3 linked regions of the Lepisosteus oculatus genome follow. The protein of the gene in region 1 interacts with the protein of each later gene in a pairwise test. Links are inferred from orthologs where the notes say so. Each region holds a gene or a part of one and is shown in the gene's direction. Other genes may lie near its edges.

Region 1 (7,403 bases):
GTATTCTGTAAGAAGAAAGAGGAAAGAAGTCAGATAAAGTCTAAATATTCTAATGGTCTAGAATATAAACCAAGTGATACTGACACAATACTAGGCCACATGTGATAGTTGAGACAGCACAGAATGTGCAACCAGTATTTTCCCAGTATATTTCTGATTATATGGATCCATACTAGTCCACACATATTAGTAATAAGAGACACATGCCCAGGCTGCTCTTTATGAAGAAGCTGTTACTGGCCAACAGCTGACATACTGCTGTTTCTGAAGAAGCTGGTACTGGCCTACAGCTGGCATGCTACTACTGTCAAATGGCCCCATGTATTTTTACCCAAAATGACTTCCAGCAGTGAACCACAGAAAACACAAATGGCCAAATTTTCAGGCCTAAACCAACACATATGTAGTGATAACTACACACAGCTGTCTGAAATGCAGTCATGGTACACTGATGCAAAATGAAAATGCAACAGTTTAAGTTGAGGCAACAGTGTGGACTAGTGGTGAAGGCTCTGAAACAGTAGGATTATAGATTCAGATCTCATGTCATATTCTGCTGTTGTACCCTTGTGCAATGTATCTCACTAAGATTTCTCCTAAATGCTGTGCTCCAGAAAAGGGTTCCTCCTAGGTCATAAATGGGATGACCTAAATGGGAATTTGCTTTAAATTGACCTATCTGGTAATTTAATAAAGTTTTAAGTAAATAGCTTATAATATTCCATTCCAAATAGTAAACAGTTTTCTTTTGATTGAGTATTACTATTTAATGGAATAATAAAACAGATAAAGTTATTTGATTTCATAAAAAAAAGGTAGGTACTCAGTGTTTGGTTTTTTAGATTATTAAGAATCTATATTATGGTCTATTCAGAAACACAGGCTGCATTTTTAATACTCAGGTTCAGGTTTCCTTTCTTCTTAAAGGGTTCCCCTATATAAATAATCCCAAACCACCTTGTTTTTCCTGTTTTTTTCTGCCTTTTTCCTGATGACAAAGAATCCGTGAGGGAGTGGTTAGAAGCAAATGTCATTTTATACACTCCAGGGAAAAGACATTTCATCATCATATATTGGGGCTTTGGTCTAGTATATCCAGAAAGAAAGAATCTATTTTAATTATAGCTTTAGACCTTACAGCTGGAGGGATTATATTAGTTTTTTTTGGGGGGGTTTACTCTGTACAGCATCAGATCAGTAAAAAACTATTTACAAAGGCCAGTATAATGTCAATAGCACCTAGAATATACAGTATTGAGGAAAAACATTATTTTAATTCTCTGAAATATATTAATAAATTGTCCTTCGTAAAAAGAGCAGACACTGGCTTAAAATAATTTTTTAACAAATTGTCCAAAATATTTTTTTTCTCAATGTATATTTTGCTTATAAAACACAGTTGTTCTTATTGCATTCATTTATTTTTTAGTGCTATGTTTATATTAGACAGATATTCACAATCGTATTATGAAATGTACAACTAACATTTTTTCAGACATAATGAACATAAAGTACTGTTGCATTGTTGAAAAAGTATTTTTTTTTTATTATTATTATTATTAACAATAACAACAACAGGTCCTTACACTTATATAGCGCTCAAAGTGATTTACAAAATGATTTACATGTAATGGGGGCTCCCCTCCACCACCAACAATGCAGCACCAACCTGGATGATGTGACGTCAGTTATAGTGCGCCAGAAGACTAGAAGAGAATAGAATGATAAAGCCAATTGAGAGATGGGGATTATTAGGAGGCCATGAGTGGTAAAGGCCAATGGGAAATTTGGCCAGGACACTGAGATAACACCCCTACCCTTTTAACATTACCAGAAAAGCAGGAATTACAAACATAATCCTAAGTGTGTATTAAACCTCTAGCATTTCTATGATTCAGAAAACTCATTCTCAGTATTGGTAAGGATAACATTGGAAACAGTGGTTTTAAAACTATGTTAAATAATTAATAAGCGCTGAATTCCCTTTGACAGGCAGAAAATGCCCAAATTAATGCAAAATCAAATAGAAACCTGAATGAAACCATTCAAATGGCCAAATACATCACAAGGGATATTAGATTCAAATATAAGTATTTTACCATTTAAGAATATACAGCTGACAAGAATTCAGTTGTAAAGATTAAATTAAGTAAATTCTTATGAAAAAGGCAGTGGAGAGTTATACAGTATATAGACACTAAATCCTCTGAGGCAGGGACAGGCTCCTCTCCAAGCTCCATACAGTAGGAATGGTCTTTCACTGATGCCATTCCTTAGCTCATAAATAGACATAGCCTAGATGATTTTAGCTCATCCAAAAAAATGTTTGCAAACTTGCTTAATTATGTCTGCATGCACAAACATCTCACCTACTCTGGCAAATCTGTAACAAGGATATATCAGTGGATTCTGATGTGCGACAGTAAAACAAGTCAGCTATTTCGGTGGTAAAAGATTAAAAACAAATCCTGTTAAGAATTTATGTACCATATATAAGATAATAATTACATAAAAATAAACACCTGTTGAAGACTTATTCTATTGGTTATGTTGTAATGTATCCATAATTATAAAGATGATTCTAGTTAACAGAGTCAATAGATTTTAGCTGATATTCAGTATTTTAGGGACAAAACGTAAGGATTTAGCAAGAACAATTAATCAATGTTATTAATATGTTCTCTTTATGCCATACAAATTGAGCTTTATCTTACTAAACCTGGTCATCATTCTTCTCAACATTTGTTTTTGTATTTGGGTGACATTATTATTTAAAAAAAACTTGCATTTGTGATTAATGCTCAAGGATGCAACTGCAGTGTTCCATTCAGGGTTAAAACCCTTGACTTTCCAGCTGGAATCCAGAACCCTGACTTTCTTACTGCTGGACACTGCTTCTTATCATTTGTCTTCACACAAAGGCTTCTTTTCTGTCTTCCTACAAAGCTTTGCAGATGATATGTATGTACTGTACACTCTCTTATTGAGAAAGCCATTTTGAACCTTAATGAAATTTGCTTCAATGGAGCTTGGTATCATTAGAAGGTATAAATATGTATAATTAAGTCTGGGTTACAAACCTAGATAATTTGACCTGTTTTTGAACTGGAATTTCAAATTGTAACCTACAGTAGGAGCCTCTCTGTCCCCACCTCTGGATTTTTACAAAATTTTGAAGCTGTATATCATCACCACAGTAATTAAAGACATCTGACAAATTCATCCATTAGTACAAGATGCATACCATTTGTAGAACAATTACAAATTCTGGTAATCTGATCTCTGAATGTTCATGTGACTCAGAAAACAATTTTTTCTTCCCCATTCCCAGAGGATTCATACTGTAGTTTCTGTTGGTTTCTGTTCTTTACCTTTAATGTTTATAATGCAACATGACATTTTATAAAAAAAATATTTCCTAGAACTGTCCTTTAATATTGCTTAAGTGTGAGAAGTCTAGTGACAAACATGACTGATATAATTCTGTTCTAAACTATAAAATGAGTGCTTTATCTGCTTTAAAACTGAATTAAGGCATTTAAATAGAACGATACCTTATTTGGCATCGTGATTAGGTACCCCTGGGGCTAGGTATTCGCTGACAAAGTGGAATAAAAGAATTGAATTGAAGAAATTCAGTATCTAATGTGTAAAATGCATTGACTTTCATAGTTGAATAGTATGGCAGTGCACAGATATCACAAAACGCAAATTTACTTTCCTGGTTTCCCATTTTGCTCTCAACGCACCAATTAATTTGTCCCGTCTCCCTAAACATTCATTAGTTATGCTATTAAGTTAAACGCAAATGGTGGTCTAAACTAGATCCATTGATTTTCAGCGCCCTCAACAGCACAATGTCAGACAATTCAAAAATGATGTCCTTTAATTGCGACTTAAAGACACTCCACCCGACATCACAGAAATTATGATGCAAGTCAATTTGTAGTAAGTTATTTACTAAACTACTAACAACAACAAAAAAACAATTGTTATTATTACAACTGCACTGCTGTTGCTGTTGTTATGAAGCTGATTAAGTTTTGGAAGTATGTTGTGTATTACTGTATATTTTGTAAGCGGCTCTGGGTATGGGCGTCTGCTAGGCAAATGTTATTAAAAACCTAGGTAATGAAGCTGAAAATAACAAAGGATTACAGAGTAGGATTTTCATATTTAACACAATTATAGAAATACAAAAATTGCTCTAAGGCACAAAGTGTTTGACTTATATTACGTCCGGATTTACTGCACCCCTTAGTTTACATTAGCACCAACTTGGCAACACGCTCCTCTTGTCCCCGCCCTGCTAAATGCTCACCCCTCTGCATACTGCATTTGTTACAAAATCCACAGGCCAACAGGGCTAGACCATTCCCTGACACAAGGAAGTGTTTCCGGAGGCGCTGGGCAATTTTACACTCCTGGCTTTCTCTGCTATCAGGGATGAGCGGCGTACCTGCTGCTGCAATCAAGATTGATTTTACCATCCCCGGACAGCTTTAAGAAGGGACGAAGTTGAATCCAGCTCGCTATGTTTTCCCGCATTCCCCCGTTTGGTTAGTGGTTGTTTCTTCCTGCTGCCATGTTGGATAGAGCTGCCGATGCTGCTGTTGGAGTTCGGATGAAAGTTTAGGTTTTTGTCCAACCGAGAGATCCAAGTTTCTGGGGCACTTCGGAAGGCCGAGGGATTGTTTGCATTAAATACCCAAACTACAGAAACAGAACAGTATTTAACCCCCCCACCCCCGTCGCATTCCTCTCGGAGAGAAGCACCTACAGCATCAATGAGAAGATCCGGTGGAAGGCCACGCTGATCAATGACTGAAGACATTTTATAAAATACCTTAATTAGTGTTATATACATATATTCGTCTGGCTTTTTACCCCTGCAATCATGAATAGCCAACATCCCCCTCCGCCGCGGCGTGTCACAAATGTGAGCTCTATGCTTCTCACCCCACAAGAAAACGAATGCCTCTTCAATTGCCTCGGCAGGAAATGCATCGTAAGTTTTAACATTTACTTACTCGATTTTAGTCTCGTCCATACTATTATAACTTGTAGACAAGTATGGGATCTTCTTGTAATTATCTTAAAACAAATTATCGGCCAAGTTTTTCATTAAAAACGGCCTAAACTGCATTGGGTTTTTTTTTTCTAAAGAGAACTAAAGTGAAGCAAAACAACAGTGCCTGGATCCCCTTGGTCTTAGGTTAATGCTTGCGTGTACGGTTGTGGGTTTAAGAGCGTGGATATGGAGCGTGCTGTCCTGGCACTGGCTGTCCGGAGGTCGGTGTGACAAGGCAGGGGAGCCCCGAGGCCGCGTTCGTGTCCGACGGCGTCCGGAGCGCGAGCCGGAACCTCTGCGCTCCGCGGTGCCTGTTTATTTTCCTCATCGAATATGGAGCTGGCAAGTTCGGTCAGCTGGAAAGCACATTCTATGAGGGATTCCATTACATAACACTGTTTTTGCTCCACTCGGATCACTCAGCAGCAGAATAAGATAGTGCCGCTGTACTGTCGCTTGTTCTAATGTTGATTTGTTTTTTTTTTTCATAACATTCTCCGGAAAATGTCATTGCGTTTAAGAAACTGGGAAAGCGAGGGGATGGCAGGGGTTAAAGGGATGCCTAAACTCAGTTGTGTTAATTTTTGAATGTTCAAATATATCAGGAGAATCTCAGGAGAGGTGGGGGTGCCATAAGTTACAGTATGTTCAGTTGAGTCCGAGGGCGCTAATAGTCGACTGAGTAATTTCTGCATTAGTGTTACAGCATGTTCCTGTTGATACAGGGCCTGTATGTTTCCAAAAAGGAGCCTTCAAGGGCGTTATGGATATTTTCGCCTTGTAACGCCCTATACCTGCCTTACTCACCTGCTGCGGGGAGTTAGTGTCGTTGTGAACTAAGACAAGCTTCTTGCAGAGGTAGCCAAGTGAAGTGAACCATTCACTATAACTTTGTAACTTCAACAGGAGGTAATTTGAAAACATTATGTAAAAAAAAAATCTTGCAATCGAATTCATTTTGAACTGGACTGTGTTTCGTTAAACGGCTTTTTGTTTTTCATATGAGGTTGTTTATTAAATCATGATACTTATTAAATCCCTGCCTATAGCAGTTATAATTTAAGAACTTCAGAAGCCTGCGATTAACAGTCCTCATCTCAGCGAAGTATCTATTGTGCTGTCACCTGATCATGCGTCATCAAGATTTCGTCCCTTTCTCATGCAGCAGTTGTTAAAACGCACACGCAGCTTTTTAAAAGATCTTTATTCCTGCATACATATCTATTTAATCACTTCATTGTGGATACCAGAAAGAGACGCGATTCATTAGAATTACTGTAAGGTTTACTATGCGGCATTTTATCACTGTCGCATTAAAGTGGCTTAGTAGCAACAAAGTCTCCTAAATTGTAAAATGTTTTTCTGTTGCTCTGTTCAGCACAAGTGTTGATGTACTTTGTCAAGCATTTATGCATGCTGTGATAAAGTTATTGTAGCTCGTTTATAAACGTACGTAAACATGAATAGTTATCTGGAGCGATGTTAAATTGTGACAGTTTTTAAATTAGTGAAAAGGGGTTCTCCCAGGTTAATAGCAGTTACCTACACATTTATGATACCCGGTCAAAAGAAAAAAAAAACACGTGAAAAATGTTGCACAAGTCTTTAGATTTACTGTGCTTACCATTTTTTATGACTATCTAACAAATTAAGTTATTTAATGGATGTGCTTTTTAATCTGAAATACATCTCCTCTCCATCAGTGTAAAACACTATACCTATACCTAGAGATTTGAGAGTATGCAGATTGCAAAGCAGAAACTTTTGGTTAATTGTACACTGAAAAGTAGAAACGAAACCCATGTCAGCTGTTGAAGTTTTGAGCCTTGCACCTGAAGAATGCTGAACAGCTAATATTAATTTATACTTGTTCCATTATTTATATATTGTCTTTTTTTCTGTATTATCATATTTGAGATTTCCCCAAAATTTGTGAAGGCTTAGTGTTTGTAAAAACCTAATTTCTGCCTTCACTGTCTACAAATGTCTTTATAGAAACATGTTTTGTAATATTTTATTGAGATGCACAGACCCTAAATACACTGACATTTAGGGAATAAAAGTATTAGTTTCTGAAGGCATATGAAAACTAGTTTGAAAATGAAAACTGAACTGCTGCACATGAATCAATTCATATAATGACCCATATCATATATGAAATTAATCATCTTGTAAGGTTTTCTGTAGGGAAGGATCAATAATGTTGTAATAAGTCATATTTCGTAAGTGGTATTTTTACTCGCTGTCCATGACTTCATATTCACTCAGCAATGAAAAACCTTTTGACTTTAAATTTGCAAATACAAATAAAAAAAATCATATCAGCTTTGGT
Region 2 (8,102 bases), on another chromosome or scaffold:
AATGCCAGCGTCCTGTACGATGCCCGAGTGACTCATCTGTTAGGCCTGTGTCTCGACGCTGTCCCCCAGGTCAGATCGAGCTGTATACCCACCTGCCCGTGATGAAGCAGCTGGTGGAGCAGCTACAGCAGTGGGAGTTCCGGGTGTGCGGCGTCTTCCTTGTCGACTCGCAGTTCATGGTGGAGTCCTTCAAGGTCAGGAGCCAGCACCGGGACACCAGCGCCCCCAGACTGCCAGGATCCCCGTGAAATATCACTGTCTTTCCTGCAGCTCTGCTACCTGCTCTTTCAAATCTGTGCACATTATGTGAAGGGCCAAATGGCTCTAAACCTGACAAAAAAGAGTGGAAGTAAACGGACAATAAAAGGATTAGCTTGTTAAAGTGGATCTTGGTTCTAAACTTTCAACACAAGTTTTTACCAAACCACCAAGAAACTCTCCATGTTTAACCTGTTTTGCTAATCTCAGATCACAAGAGTACCAGGATTTGAAGTGGTCTTTTTGACTGTCCCCATTTCCTGCAGTAGAAACATTCGGTTCCCTAGCTCCTGACGTAGCTTCAGAAATCCCGATGAAGATCATATATTTTAGAAACCTGGCCTCTGCTCTTTGTCTGTCGACATGGCCGCCGGTCTTTGACAAGCACTTTCCCTCTGATTGCTTTTCCAGTTCATCTCTGGTGTCATGGCGGCTCTCAGTGCCATGGTTTCCCTGGAGATCCCCCAGGTCAACATCATGACGAAAATGGACCTGCTGAGTCCAAAAGCTAAGAAGGAAATTGAAAAGTAGGTTCAAGCCATGGGGAGCAGAGAGTTTTAGCAAGTCCTAGAGTCATGAAGAAGCGGTAGTGGTGAAGTAGAGCACATGTAAAGAAAAACTGTGTTGTCAAATCTGTTGCTCACCTGAGGTTGACAGGTTTTGTACAAAAGCGAACCAATACTGCGCTTGAGTCAGTGCAATCTTGGTTTGTTTTTATTCTTTTCATTCACTTTGTTAGGTCTTTAAGTGAGAATTTGCTTCAATGGTTTCCTCCCTGTGTGGGCTGTGTGGGGGTACAGTGGCCAGCGCTACTACCTCGTTGCTTTGGGGTGCTGGGCTCAGTTCCAGACCTCAGGTGCTATCTGTGTGTGTGTTCTCCCCGTGTTTGTGTGGGTGTCCTCTGGGTGCTCAGGTTTCCTCCCACAATCCAAAAACATGCTGGTAGGTTGATTGACTTCCTGGACAGCTGGCCCTGTGAGTGTGTCTGTCTGTCTGGCTGAGCCCCTGCTGGCTGGGGAAGGATTTGCCTCCTCCGTGACCCTGGATTGGAAGATGCACTTAGAGGATAGATGGATGATTAATTTTATTGTATAAAGGATTAAATGTTAAAAAAGAAAAGGTCCTTTACATAGTCATTCTTTTTTTATTGTTAACGTCAAGTCAAAAATAATGGAATTTTAACAAAGGTTTTGCTACCCCCTTTGTGTTTGTAAATTACTAATGTGTTGACTTTTCTAGCATTTTATTTAAGAATGGTAAAAAGGATTTGATATTTTTCCTTCCATGTCTTTTAGATATTTAGACCCAGATATGTACTCTATGATTGAAGATAATTCTCTCACGCTAAGAAGTAAAAAGTTCAAGAAGCTGACTAAGGCTATCTGTGGTTTGGTAAGAGCATTTAAAATTCTGCATATTCAGTGAATAATGTATTCAAATATATATATGAAGAAAAGTTAAATTTATTATTAATTCATAATTATAATTAATTTACCTTCACAATAATGATCTGCCAACATTATTTCCCTGAATTTGTGATGAAGGAATTGGGGATCTTCCTCATTTCAAATCCATAGCTAAACAAAAAACACAGTTTTCCTAGAATCTCACAACCTAAAACTTTTTGGCTTTCCTTTTTTAATTTAAACCCTAATAAATGTGTCTCATTTCAGATATTGTTATTGATAATACAGTGCTTTCTGCATTAAAAGAAATAGAGGATATTCGATTATTTAAACAATTACCCACATGTCCTTTCTATTTGGATACCACACTTTCTCCTCTCATGGGCAGAGAGTCTAAGAAGGGTTACAGTAAACTGCATTACAGTAGTAATAGCAAAGGTACAAAAGTGCTTTGAATTACTGAAACAAGATGCAGATTTGCCAAGCATCGGAGGCAGAAAGACTGGCACCTAAATGCATTAGATGAGCAGGTGGAACAGAAAAGGAGCAGAAAACATCTGTTTGTCGGACAGGAATGCAGTGAGATGTCAAATAAAATCTGTCATTACACTGGGTGGCGGGTGTGTCTGAGCTGTCCTGGGGTCTCTGTGTGCAGATTGACGATTACAGCATGGTGCGGTTTCTTCCCTTCGATCGCACAGACGAGGAGGGGATAGGCATCGTGCTGCAGCACATCGACTTGTCCATCCAGTACGGGGAGGACCTGGAGTTCAAGGAGCCCAAGGTAATTGATGCAGCAGTCACCTGCTGCTTGGAGATCCGTGTTATTTAGCGTTGTGAGTTGAGCTCTGAAGTAAACACTGTTCTCGAGAAATGCATTCTGAGATATTTACAATCATAATGAACCTTCAGGATTAATTTTGGAGATTGTGTTATTCATAATATGCATTTTTTGTATTCCTCATATTCAGTGAAATCAAAACCACTTTTAGATACTTTTGTCTTAGGTCACAGTGTAGGTTGTGTGCCCTGCTGTTTTTTTGGAAGCGTGTATCCAAGTTTAACTTCCCACAATTCATTGAAACTGCATTCAAACCTCTTTAAGTAACAAGTCTGTGCCCTTTCTGCAGTCTGATTGTGTGGGAACCTTACTGTTGTCCATTGCAGGAGCCTGAGCCTGATGAAGACTCCAGTCCCTACTGTGATGAGTTCTTCCACGACAAACTGGGGGAATAAGATGAAGAGAAGGAAGGAGAGGCAGCAGATGCCGGCCAGTGACATTCTGCTTTGGCTCCTCATCTCCTGAAAGACTCCGAACAGGACTCCCGCACTGAGCCGATGCCTCCGTCATCTTTTAAATGTCCTTCTGTTTTATAGAAACGGAAACCTCTGATATCTACTGCCTATGTAATGCCGGGTTGCCCAGCACGAGTCTCATGGTCCTTACCTGGAGTAGCTTGAAAAAGGTCTTCAGTTATCTGATTCATTTCGTCCGCTGTCAACCTGACAAGCCTGGTAGGAAGAGGAGGACTAGGGTCTCAAGTGAACACACCCTCCTGCCCCCAGAACTCTTGTTGCGTTGTTGTCAGTTCCTTGGCAGATTTTATTTAGGTTATTTATTGTTTCACGGCAAATAGGGACTTTTTTCTATCCTTTTACACTGAACTGAAACTTTGTTCAAACCAACCAAGATGGATTTTTAAAGACATTTGTCTTTCCTGTTATGTGGGCGTTCAGAGGTACAAATGTTGTTTTGCATTTTATTTTTTAATTAGATGATTGAAATGTAAAGAGTTGTTTAATAGTAATGCTTTTTATCACTGCAGTAGATTCCAGCATTGGCCCTGGGGTGCCCCAAGTCTTTCAGACATCACAGGACCCATTAACCATGAATATTCTTAATTATTCCAGCAACTGGTTGTGTTGTGTTGTTTGGGAACCCTTGCATGTCTTTCTCTCCAGGATCAGAACTGGACTTCTGAAGTATGAGACCTTCAGCTTTGGCACAAGGGTCTGGGTGGAGAGCTATGGGCCTGTGGAATGTATGGATTTTTTTTTAGTGTGGGAGTTCATGGTTAGTAATTTAATTTAATCTTGAATTGCGGTTTGGAAATTTATATTTTATTAATAAAATAATTGACATTGAAACAACCTAGAGGGTGCAAATGGTAACTGAGGGGAAGTGTATTTTAAATCAGGGGCCAGATGGCACTTCTGATGTCAAGGTTTGTAGGAGTCTGGTACAAGCTACCCAGCTGCAATACCGAAGCTGAGACACTGGTTCCCTTCAGAAAACAGCTGCTTGAGATTCTCTCATCAATTAGCTACTTGCAATGACCTAGCAATCAAAACAAGACGGATGGACTGCAAAGCCACCTCTTGATTCTAGCATTGCACATGATCTAGAGACGTGTTTCTACGTTTTCTATTCTGAATCACACATCTTAATTATCCTTTATAATGCTATAAATGAGATATTTTACAGTACATTATTTCAACACAGTACAGAAAATCAATTTCCAGCTTCCTGTTTTTTCATAGAATGGTTTTATGCTGAAGTTACTTTCGGTGCTTCTTGCACAGTTAACTTAAGACCTTTTGGAAGAATACAGCATCTAATCTGATTAAGAAAAAACACTGCAAAACAACTCCCACACATTATCACATGCTCTTTATTTTAAAGGATAATAAAACTAATGGATTAATATATATATATATTATGACTCAAGATAATTCAAACACAATGTCAAAAGACAGCACATCTTCCAGTCGTGATCAAATTCATTTAAATGGAAAAGACAACATCACTTTAATTTCTATTTAAATATATTCACATAAAGCCCTTTCCAAGATACGACAATTCTGTTAACCACTGATTTACTTTTAATTGAACTCCAGTAGGTGTTCAGTCTGCCAGTCTTGGTATCGTCTCTGTATGTCATAAAGATAAAGGGACCCGTATTATTAAGCTACACCTGTCACGACTGCTGTGACTAGAGCAATTTAAAGATATGGGTTCTCAGCAGTGTATGGTGTCCCAGGCCTTGAGGGTGGTCCAGGGGTGTAAAACCCGAGCTCCTGGAAAGTCTCAGTTGATTAGGTCTCGCTAGCCAATTAAACAATTAAGCTGATTATTTTCTATATAATAATCCAACATGTTGGATTTTATTTTCTGTTTATCCGTGTACTTAACTGTATAATTCGCAAATCGAAAACGAAAATCAGTGAGTTTATTTTAGCTCAGTGCTTTTAAGGATTTCGATACAATTGATCTTCTGTAAAATCTCACGTTTTAAGAAAACGTACATCGTGCTGCGCGCCACCTTGTGGCAGTGCGGTGCACTTACAGCTGGAAGGTGGAAGCGGTTTGTCACTTCCTGCTGGTGCAGATTCTGGGTGGGACAGCGGAAGTGTTGTGCGCCGGGTCTGACAGCATTTTATCGGTGTTAACAGGAGAAAATACAGGTTCAAAATGCCGGTAAGTTTTGCTAGTTAATTTAGTTCATGTTCGTAGGTGTATGAGCCTGCTTTTAATTACTGTTGGTTTATTCCATGGCTTTTTGTAGTTAACCAAACGGATGTGAAAAGGCACTGGGAGCGACTACAGTAGTCAATCTATAGGTTTTTTTTCAGGAAGTGAATCGGGCCCAGTAGGAATTTTAAATTATTCAACTTAACATTTTGGTTTTTAAAAGTAAAAAATAAGCTGCGTTGCACACAGGGAAACGAGGCACGTTTTGCACAGGGCAACGGAGGAAAGAAGTACCCGCACTTCAACGCATAGAAGCTTCATCTTACGGGTGTTTATTTGAAACACTTCCTAATCCCCAAGTATAAAATGCTTCTTTTTCAAACAACAGTCGGGGGTTAAAACTGACTTCCGACGTACTCGAATAACTTCAAGATGTATCATTTTTTATCCCACCAAAATATGTAATTTAGTTAGTTTGACGAATGTTAAATCCTCATTACCTTCAGCTGACAGGGCTCTGAATTGTGGAGTGATTTGTTTGTGTGCGGGGAAGCCGATCGTGCATGTCTGTTCTGTTCTGTGCAGGCTTACCATTCGAACCTGATGGACCCCGACACCAAACTGATTGGAAACATGGCTCTGCTGCCCCTGAGAACCCAGTTTAAAGGGCCGGCTCCCAGGGAAAGTGAGTACCCCTGAGCCTGGGTGGTCTGAATTACCCTGAAACCTGGAAGGTAGCGCGGCATGTGAACAGTGCGTCTTGTGTTGCTGATGGTTTTGCTCAGCTTTACGCGATGTTTACTCCTGTTCTCATGTCTTCATGTAATAATAATAATAATAATTGCTTACACTTATATAGCGCTTTTCAGGTAATGGGGTCTCCCCTCCACCACCACCAATGTGCAGAATCCACCTGGATGATGCGACGGCAGCCATAGTGCGCCAGAACGCTCACCACACATCAGCTATTAATGTATATTCCAGGTTTATCTTGTGGACAGGTGGATTAAATTATTCCAAAAAAAAAAAAACAAACGTCGATTTTACATGATGGCGACTGGACTGTCGTGTGTCTCTATGCACGGGCAGATATTTTCCGTCCGCTTGACTTTTCTGCGGTTTGTTCGCGTCTGCGTGTCAAAACCAGACCTGCATGGTTGTGACGTCACGACCCGAACGTCTCTGGCTTCCTTATTTGGAAAGTTTGCTCTTACTGAAAGTTTCTCTGATGCGAAATGTTAAGATTCGCTGCTATCATCATCGTTTGTTTGTTTTTTACCCATCACCATTTGATTTTTTAAATTCAGTTCGCTTAACATACACGCATTCTCCCCCATCTTAGCCAAAGATTCTGACATCATTGACGAAGCCATCTACTACTTCAAAGCCAATGTCTTCTTCAAGAATTATGAAATTAAGGTAAGTGAAAATACCCCCCATGTAGCACATGAGCACACACCACCTTTGCATTTATATTGTTAACGTACGAATAGAAACAAAACGCGTTCTTCTATTGAAAAGGAGTTTGTGTAAAGCACAGCAGTACGAGCCTGTTAAAATCGGAAACAACTTCTTCAAATTTCCTTTGATCCCTTAAGATGTGACGTTGTCCGTCTCTTAAACAGTTTTTAGTGTTCAGGCAAGTCGTCTTACACAAATGAATAGAATCATGAAACGTGAAGTTTCATTCTGACGGAAAAAGAGAGGGAAGGATCCTGGCTACTTGTCTGGTTTGACTAGTATTGCACTCAGAGAACATGCAGTCTGTGCAGTAAAATCATTCAGCTGTAATTTGTGCTCCATTGTAATAATGCTACATTATTTAATCAAACAAGATGATTAACTTTCCTAAATTAACAATTTTCGTGTGGGTGTGATTACCAAGACATTCTGTGGTCTGACTCGTTTTTTACGTTGTCCGAAATTGCTCATGAGGTACTGCTGCATGATGGGGTAACTGTTGCAGTACCCCTGCAGGAAGTGGGGATGGTGTGTTTTCCTGTGACCAGAGCACAGCTCCGCTCAGGAGTGGGCGTTTCCCTCTGCCCTCGGCTCACAGCTGCTTCTTGCCTCCTCCAGGAGGGAAAGGTGCCTACCTGTCTGGGCCTGTCTCAGTTGCAACAGGACCCCATGCCTCAGAGTCTAATCATAGCTCTCCATCTGGGCCCCACTGCAGCTCCTCCAGTGAAGTTCAGAAACTATTCTCCCTTCATTAATGCCCTGAGCTTGATCAAATAGAGAGACAAGAGCTGTACTGGGTATTTACCACAGTTCTTCCTTTCAGAGTTACAGCACGCTGTACTGTTCGTCTTGAATGTATATATTGGGGAAAAATATTCCTTTGATGTTCAATTACTGGTTGCCACAGTCAGGTTGGAGGTGATTTTGTCTATAAGAGGTTAAAGCACATTGTTCTGGAGGTTAGTAAAGTCAAAAAGGTTTGGACTTCCTAGTTAAATCAAAAGACTCAACTGCTTGTCAAAGAATGGAGCCAAGAAACACTGCTTTGTTTTTTAAAATGGGTTAAAAAGTTTGGTTTTGATTTCCTTTGCAGAATGAAGCTGACCGGACTTTAATCTACGTGACTTTGTACATTTCGGAATGTCTCAAGAAGCTTCAGAAGGTGAGAGAGGCACGGATCATGCAGTAACTTTCGACTGTAACACCAAACCAAATCACCAAATCAAAAATCTTCAGAAGACATTGCATGCATTGATGGTTGGGTCATTCTTTGAGGGCAAGGCCTAGAGCATTAATCAATCAGGATCAGAACTGCCCAGGTGAATGCACGCAGTTACCCAAGTGCTGTCCGAGCTAGAAGAAAGCCAGGTGACTTCTGCATCATAGGGACCCCTGAAACCTGCTGGGCTTGCAGTGCCAGTGCATTAAGGACAGCGTCTGTTCTGTCAGATGCCTAGTTCAGGTACTAGCACAATGCAACAGAAATACAGTAATGACATTGCACG
Region 3 (7,508 bases), on another chromosome or scaffold:
AGATGTGTATGAAATATTTACATCGTCTAAGTTAGTTCTGACACAGCTGTTGGCCGAATGGATAACAATACATGGAAAAGCCAATTTTATGAAAGGTTAAGGTTAAGAAGATTAAAATGGATTTCTGAATTAACATCTTTTTTTTTTTTCTGTTAATCCTAAATGCCTGTGTGGATTAAATCTTAAATTACTCTTCCTTTCAGGGGAGCAGTAATTCATCAAATTAGTTTGCAGATTTCATTGTACTGTATATAAAGACCCTGAAGCTAAAGTTTTAAAGGCGTATGTTGAATTTGCCAGTAAACGTTTATTTTGCATTGCTTGCCTGTCTTTATAATTGTACTGTTTCAACATAAACGGTACCATTATAAAACATTTTCTTGACAGCTGTATGACACGGTAACAGTGGGTAAACAAGGCTTGTGTTACCTTCTTTTTTTTTTAATGACATATCTATGTATTGCCATATACTGTATATAGACTCTCTTATCTTGAATCGTCACCCCAGGGTTACAGAATGCAAACCACTTTCTGTGTGTGTAAAATACAGTATGTGCAAGACATCTACTGAGATTTTAAGTAGCAAAATTCATAAGGTAATGTAACTAAAATACAGAAGATTTTAAAAATGAAAGCATCAAAGATTGATAAGAAATCTGGCAAGCTTGTTTAATTCCAAAGTGTAATTAATTCCTGGAACTGCTAAATTTCTATTCATTTTCTTGTATTTTACCATGATTGTTTTTTCTCTTTTTCTTTTCTGTATTGGCACCATTACTCAAAAGCAAGTATGTACATTAGAAGGTTTCCTCTAATGAGACTCAGAACTGCAAACTACTGTAACATTATTCTTTGTGCACATCTGTGACTGCACAAATACATTATATTTCATTCTTAAATTAACAAAACCCTGCAAAGTATGAAAGTGTATGATTTTCATCTGCAGGTAGCTGGAAACTAATATTTTGGTGACGGCATTCTCAGATTACTAAGAAATGTAAGCCTTAAATGAATTTAAGGAATATTTCAGAAAGAAACACTATATGGAAAGAAAGACAAAAGCTTCAGGGCTTCAGTTGCTCCTGAGAACGTTCACTTCAAAATCTTTAGCAGTTTTAGTTGTTGCTTTCCTTTCCAAGAAGCCTGTTCAATATACTGTATTACAGACAATAGATCCCATTCTAGTGATGTGGAACTTTATCATCCCCATCTGTTTTGTCTCCTTTTGTGCAACTCTGTCATTCTGAGTTTATGTTCAAACTCCACATCTCTATTGTGGAGAGGCTTGAGGGATGGATGCAGATGCATGGCAAAAAGAGACTGAAATTTACACCCGTGGGACAATAAATGAATATCAGTCTTCCAAACCATGTATTGAAGCTTAAACTATGTTTGACTCGTGTAACGCCTGACATTTTCTTTAGATATTAAGAACTCAGATTAAGGTTAGTCACAGTCAACAAGGGGCTTGGATTTATTTTCTCTAATTGTTATGTGCATATCAAAACCCCAAACAAAATAAAAAGGTGCCTTTGAGAGGACAGAGGGTTGTGCAAAGTACAAAAAGCATCTGTGCTACGATGTGAAATTCCCACACACACGAGGAAAGCTAGATCAATGACCTCTATATTCGAGGAAGCAACAGAAAAAACAAAAGGAATTAAATGTGCTGACAATGCCAAACCGTATTCATTTGCAGGGCTAAAATAACAATGTGTTATTTGGTCAAAGTGACTTATCTGACTTACATTGTTTATTGCACACAAAATTTTATAGTACAAACATTGTTAATGGAAGTATAAGCAACCACACCTTTTTTGTTCACATTTAAATCTCACCCAAACAAGCCATCATCACTTTTTCTGGAAATGATCAAAAAGTTGTTAGAGTGTTATGATATTTTAAATCAGTTTTTAAAGTGTCAAATTAAATAAATTAATAACAATTACACTGTGCAGTTTTCAATATTGATAATACACCTGATAATTAACAATACAATTGCATCACAAAATATAAACATTCTTTGCAGAAGTCTTTGATTTCAAAAGCTGTGGTAGTTAAACATCTAAATTATATATTTTGTTTATTATACCTTTTAGGTGCAAATACTCATATAGAACAAAGAAACACTCTCCTTATTTTTGTCTCCACTAACTCTAACTTTTTCTAACTCAAGGACTGATTCACAGGATTTGTCAGAAGGTGGAGTTAAATTTAGTGTTTTCTTGAAAGAAGCATTTCTGTAGTTCTTAGTAATGTAATCGCAAAACGGAAAAGTCTACTTCATTAATCAACTGTAGTCTTTCACAAATGTGTCTTAATATTGCTCGATGAAAAAGAAGGAAAACTGGATTGAAAATATTAAATATTAAATACTATACTATATACTATAATATTATATAAATTTGAAATACAAATATGGTATGTTTAAGAGGTTCGAGTGTGGGAGCTGAAGAGCAGGAACAAGGAGAGGTTAATTCCATGCTGGAAGTAGAAAGAAAAAAATATTAAAAATGCAACATTTCAGCTGTGGATTCTTCTGTGAGTATGTGAAAGAAGGATGGAGAGAAAAGGGATACAAGAAAAGGGGGCTTTAAGGAGAACACATAGAGGGTATGTAAGGATGGGCACTGCAGATGAAAAAAGGTGCCTCACTCCTTCCAGAATCGGGATGGTTTCCAATCCTGTTGTTGGAGCGGGGAGGAAACTCCCCAGAACCGGCAGCCCAGTGTTGTCCTTTCACAGCCTGAGGAACATATAGTGAGCCTGTCTCAGAATAAAGTTTTATATGATGTCTTTCAATGTCCAATAATAAAGTATGTTTTTTTTTTACTGTAAATGTAAATGATTTGTTCATTGTTTCTGCTTTGGCAACACTACTGTATAATTCATCAGTCAAGCCAATAAAGTTCTTTGAATCTGAATCTGGGTCCTCCAAAGACATGGAATTCGGTGGAGCAATGTTTAAGGCAGAAATCTGTAAATGAACGGAGAGATTTCAAGGATTGCAAGCTGGCAGAAGATGTGAAAAAGACAAAGTTCAATGTAATAATGTCTGAGAGAGGTGCAGTATATCAGGGAACTGTTGTCTTGGTGAAACCTTTGATCCTTACTGTTCACATGTTCTGCCTGAAACACATCGCCAGTTCTTCAGTGTTAATGGCAGTGCTGTCTGCAAGAGATCTATGAAACGAGATTGTGGACAAGCAAGATACTTCTTAGGTGACGTTGATACAATGATGAATTTGTTGGTGCTGCTACCTGCTCTAGCAATCTACTACAGCAATTTTACATCACTTCACCCACTTCCATCCATCTCTTTCACTCCTCTTCTTTTTCTGCACATACAAAAAGTAGGTATATTAGCCACCTGGAACTGAAGGTTTCTGTGTATTACAAACCTGCTGATGCACTCCATACCTCCTCTACAGCATGTTCTGCCTTACAAAAATCTATTTTTCTTATTGTTTCAAAGACTTTGTAAGTCAGTCTTGAGAGCGGATATCAACATCCTTTCTATTCTCACAATCATCAAAGAAAACATCTCCGTTGTTTTGCTATTTTTGTCCACTGTTCCCTTAGCCATCCACAGCTACCAACAGAAGCAGATAAATTGCCTAGAAATGCACATTCAGTAGCACATATACATAACTAGTGTTTGTCCCTAATCTCATTTATTACATTTCTCTTGCTGAAAGAGTCCCATCATTTACATTGTAAAAAACACAAAGATGTGTCGACTGTTTCAGAGAACGCACACATTTCTTTATGTGCATATTTAAAACAGATTACAGGTACGTAGGTGTAGCTATTGTGTGCTTACAGAAAGGAAACCCTGCTCCTCCTGATGACTTCTGTTCCCCTTTCTACATTTTACTGTTTGTTCTCTAACTACTAATGTATGTGGCTAAATAATGGATTACCATTCCTTCTGTACAAATATGTTCCAAGGAGCACAATTCCGAAAAACAGAAAAAATCTTGCAAAATGAGAAATAGAGAGACCAGTGATAGCCAACAGTATTTTTCATTCATTTTCAGTTTAATTGTTAGATTCGCTCTGCACTTTTAAATATATACAGAACCTATTTACCGCCAATATTGATAAAAAGTTATCTCATAATGTATGCCCATTGTCTCCTCCTTTTGATAGAAAATATTCAGTAATGGAAATGGTGTGGGTTACATAATAAATTAGCTTTGTATATTTGCACATTATATTTTTTAGAGTATATTAACACAAATACTTGATTAACAAAGAGAAATGATCATGTTTTAAAGTGTAATGAATAATAATGTAATGAATTCTGAGTTAGATCTTTTTTGTCCTCCACCCCACCAAGATGGCGCTGATATTCCTTCAGATACGTGACGAAACGCTCCTTTTTTTTAGAACCTCTATGGTGTTCAGCGCTTCACGCCGGAAAAGCGCGCAGGAACGTGAATACCACAAGAGAGCGTGGAATTATGGGCGTTTAACTTTTTGTGTTATTGAGGTAGTGTCATGGGCTGAGGATAATGGCAGAGGAAGCAGAGTCTGGAGCGGTTTCAGGCGAGGAAGACGATGCCGCGAAAGATGAAATTTGGTGCCTGAGAAGAGTCGGAAAAAGGGCTGAGTGGCTCCGTCTGCCCGAGAAAGAAGAGGTCTTGTTCTCTTACCTCTCATTTACTCTTTCAGTACTAAACACCCCTCCCCCTTCACACTTTTAGCTAAGTGGCGTACCTGCAAAAATGTCTTAATTGTATTTTGAGTCGTAAAAAGTTGCAAATATGATCCTAATCACCGGAGCTGCGTGCTTCTGTTTTCAAGTCTTTTACTTTTTAATACATCTCATGTGTGTTTTGTGCCGAATGACGATGATTGCGGAGGGATGGGGTTACATGGGATCGCAATAGAAGGTGTTTTTTTAGTTATGCAATAATATTTTTTTCAGAAGCATATCCATGTTTGTATTCTGGGGTGTTTATCACTGCAGAACGGAACTCGTCACCTGAAAGTGATGAAAATGTGGAATTGGTGAAGTCCCCTAACTCCTGTTTCCCCGGTTTACACATCTACCTGGATCCGAGTGTAATTGAAACACTAGCGACTATTCCTTGCACATACATTTACATGTTTAAAAATACAAACAGATAAATAATTTGTTTATTTTGTTATACCTATCTGAAAGCCCACCCTCTTCATCGTTTAAAGGATCAAAATAACATTTGTCTTCGTTAATCGCCTGCATACTATTGGTACAATTTTAAAAAGCACGTTGCAATAATCGGATTTAGATGATTTAAGCTTTCAAACAAAAATAAACTCCCTTCAAGTGGCGCATGTATTTTGCAACTGCACTAGTAAAGAAATCTTATCTGAAGTTCCTCAGTGCTTGTCAAGTTGTAAAGTCAAGCTACATTTTAAAGTTCAGGAGAACAGTAGTAATTCTTTGCCTAGAAGCCCTCAGTAGTAAACCTTGATTTTTAATAATGCCTCTTCTTGTCTTAGGTGACACTTGGGCGAAGCTTTGATGTCACTTATCAAACCCTGTCAAGGAGCTGTCCTTTAATGATTTCCAGAAACCACTGCAAATTCAAACAAAATGAAGAGGGACATTGGACAGTGACAGATAATAAGGTAGAGCCTTTATTTCAGTTTCATACTATGTTGGGTATTATTTGCATAGGTTTTGGATTTTGTGTTTCAATTTCTGGTAGACTGCTAATGGTCCCATAGTTGTTATTCTGCCTGAAGACACTGTGAATGTTGGCCGAACATTCCTGAGATGTGGTTTGTGAATAGATAAGATAACAGATAAGATCACTTTATTGGCTATATACAGTTTCTTGTAATAGGAATTTGTCTTTTTGCATACCCCAACTTGCTCTCCATCAGACACACAGACAGGGAAAGAGGCTTGGGGTCAGAGCCCGGGGTCAGACATTTATACGGCACTCCTGGAGCAGTTGGGGTTAAAGGCCTTGCTCAGGGGCCCAATGGAGACGGATTCCTCTGCCGGCCACGGGATACGAACCGGCAACCTTCCAGCCACAGGCACAGATCCTTAACCACAAGGCCACTGCCCCGCCACACTAAAAATAATATTTAGTTATAGTTGACCTATAACTAAATATTAGTATGGGTTGGTTTTGCTGCATATGTAATATGATCTCTAGTATTATGAAATGCAGTTTGTACGTGCATTTATGAATTAATAAGAACATTAATAAAATGATGTACATGTTCAGTATTTAATCAGGTTATTGTTCTGCAAATTGTAGAATTGTAGAAAAATCTTAGAGGTGTTTCCTTGCATAGCAAGTGACCTAAAGCTAGCGCTGGATTCCATAAACCCTCCTGTAGCATTTTTTCAGATAGGTACAGATATGTTATGAAAAAGACCAAATGAAAAAAATGTTGTCATATACACACTTTACAGTGATAAATCGTAATGCTCTGAAGTATTGTTTTCATAAATCACTGGACATCATAGAGTTTGTCGCATCAGGCATCGCAAGATAAGTATGAGCCTTGTTTTAGACTAATATTCCACTTGTGAATTGAATTCACAAAAAAAGATGAAGTCCCCACTGTGCAGAGGAGTAGACCAGTTTCTGAAATAGACTCCCCCTTTCAACACTGCCTCCTTTCCTAAGCATTAAATTCAGGGTAAAAATGGTTCTTAGAGATTAACAGTTTAAAATGTTCATATAACTTATTGAAACTTAAATCAAGTGATCTAAAATCTGCTAACCCTTACATTAACCGTTAATAAACAGTTACTATAAATGCCTAGTTAAATACAGTAGTCTAGTCGAGACGCAAAAATAACATTTATATAAAGCCTTGATCATTTTAAAACCATTTAAAAAGAGATTTTATTTTCTTGAATGCGATTAATGACGATGTGTTTCTGTTGCCTTACAATATGAATAATTTGTTCACCGATCTGAATCCAAGACAGAAACAAAATTATCCATATAATCCAAGCTGTAGAATTTTGAAATACAGAATATTTCTACATATTAATATATACCTAAATATATCTACAAAAATACCTGCTGTATATTTCTGTTAGGATCAAATTGCAGTGTTTTTTTTTTGTTCCTGTAGACGCCATTAAGAATATAATAAAGCAATTAATGTAATATGTATCGAAATGTTAGAAGAGGTTACAGACAAGAGGAGGCCATTTGGCGCCTCTAGCAAAATTGGTGTTAATGTGACAGAACGGACAGCAACACATTTGTGTAAAGAAAGAAGCAAATGCTTGGAGACGTATATCTCTTTGAAGCTTGATGGATTGATCAAGTTCTCCAATTTTTAGTCGGATACTGACAATTCTATTCATCAACAGCAACAGTTATTGTTTGTGACCATCGCCATCAGCAAGAGGTAGACTGGAAGCTGGACAAACCCCATGAAACACGTAGACCCAGCCAACACTACAGCTACAGCTTATGCCTCAGTCATTCTTCGCATGTTCACTGCTGATGGACTAAACCCGATACGTAAAGCTTAACAGA

The links.
Region 2: the proteins of wasla (region 1) and arpc3 interact in binary tests that used the Homo sapiens proteins (3 or more experiments, as listed by UniProt). The two-hybrid records come from large-scale screens. The link is inferred for Lepisosteus oculatus from reciprocal best matches to the Homo sapiens genes WASL and ARPC3.
Region 3: the proteins of wasla (region 1) and rnf8 interact in binary tests that used the Homo sapiens proteins (3 or more experiments, as listed by UniProt). The two-hybrid records come from large-scale screens. The link is inferred for Lepisosteus oculatus from reciprocal best matches to the Homo sapiens genes WASL and RNF8.

What each region holds. Positions count from the first base shown.
Region 1 is NC_090702.1:38,463,048-38,470,450, reverse strand, and holds the start of wasla (WASP like actin nucleation promoting factor a), read left to right. Parts: upstream 1-4,337; 5' UTR 4,338-4,897; coding exon 4,898-5,008; intron 5,009-7,403. UniProt on the Homo sapiens protein: Regulates actin polymerization by stimulating the actin-nucleating activity of the Arp2/3 complex. Involved in various processes, such as mitosis and cytokinesis, via its role in the regulation of actin polymerization.
Region 2 is NC_090717.1:10,186,480-10,194,581, reverse strand, and holds the start of arpc3 (actin-related protein 2/3 complex subunit 3), read left to right. Parts: upstream 1-5,030; 5' UTR 5,031-5,136; coding exon 5,137-5,142; intron 5,143-5,721; coding exon 5,722-5,821; intron 5,822-6,478; coding exon 6,479-6,555; intron 6,556-7,690; coding exon 7,691-7,759; intron 7,760-8,102. Other genes in the region: gpn3 (GPN-loop GTPase 3), read left to right, coding at 70-194, 670-785, 1,554-1,650, 2,320-2,448, 2,832-2,900. UniProt on the Homo sapiens protein: Component of the Arp2/3 complex, a multiprotein complex that mediates actin polymerization upon stimulation by nucleation-promoting factor (NPF).
Region 3 is NC_090697.1:43,194,177-43,201,684, forward strand, and holds the start of rnf8 (E3 ubiquitin-protein ligase rnf8), read left to right. Parts: upstream 1-4,436; 5' UTR 4,437-4,517; coding exon 4,518-4,643; intron 4,644-5,490; coding exon 5,491-5,619; intron 5,620-7,508. UniProt on the Homo sapiens protein: E3 ubiquitin-protein ligase that plays a key role in DNA damage signaling via 2 distinct roles: by mediating the 'Lys-63'-linked ubiquitination of histones H2A and H2AX and promoting the recruitment of DNA repair proteins at double-strand breaks (DSBs) sites, and by catalyzing 'Lys-48'-linked ubiquitination to remove target proteins from DNA damage sites.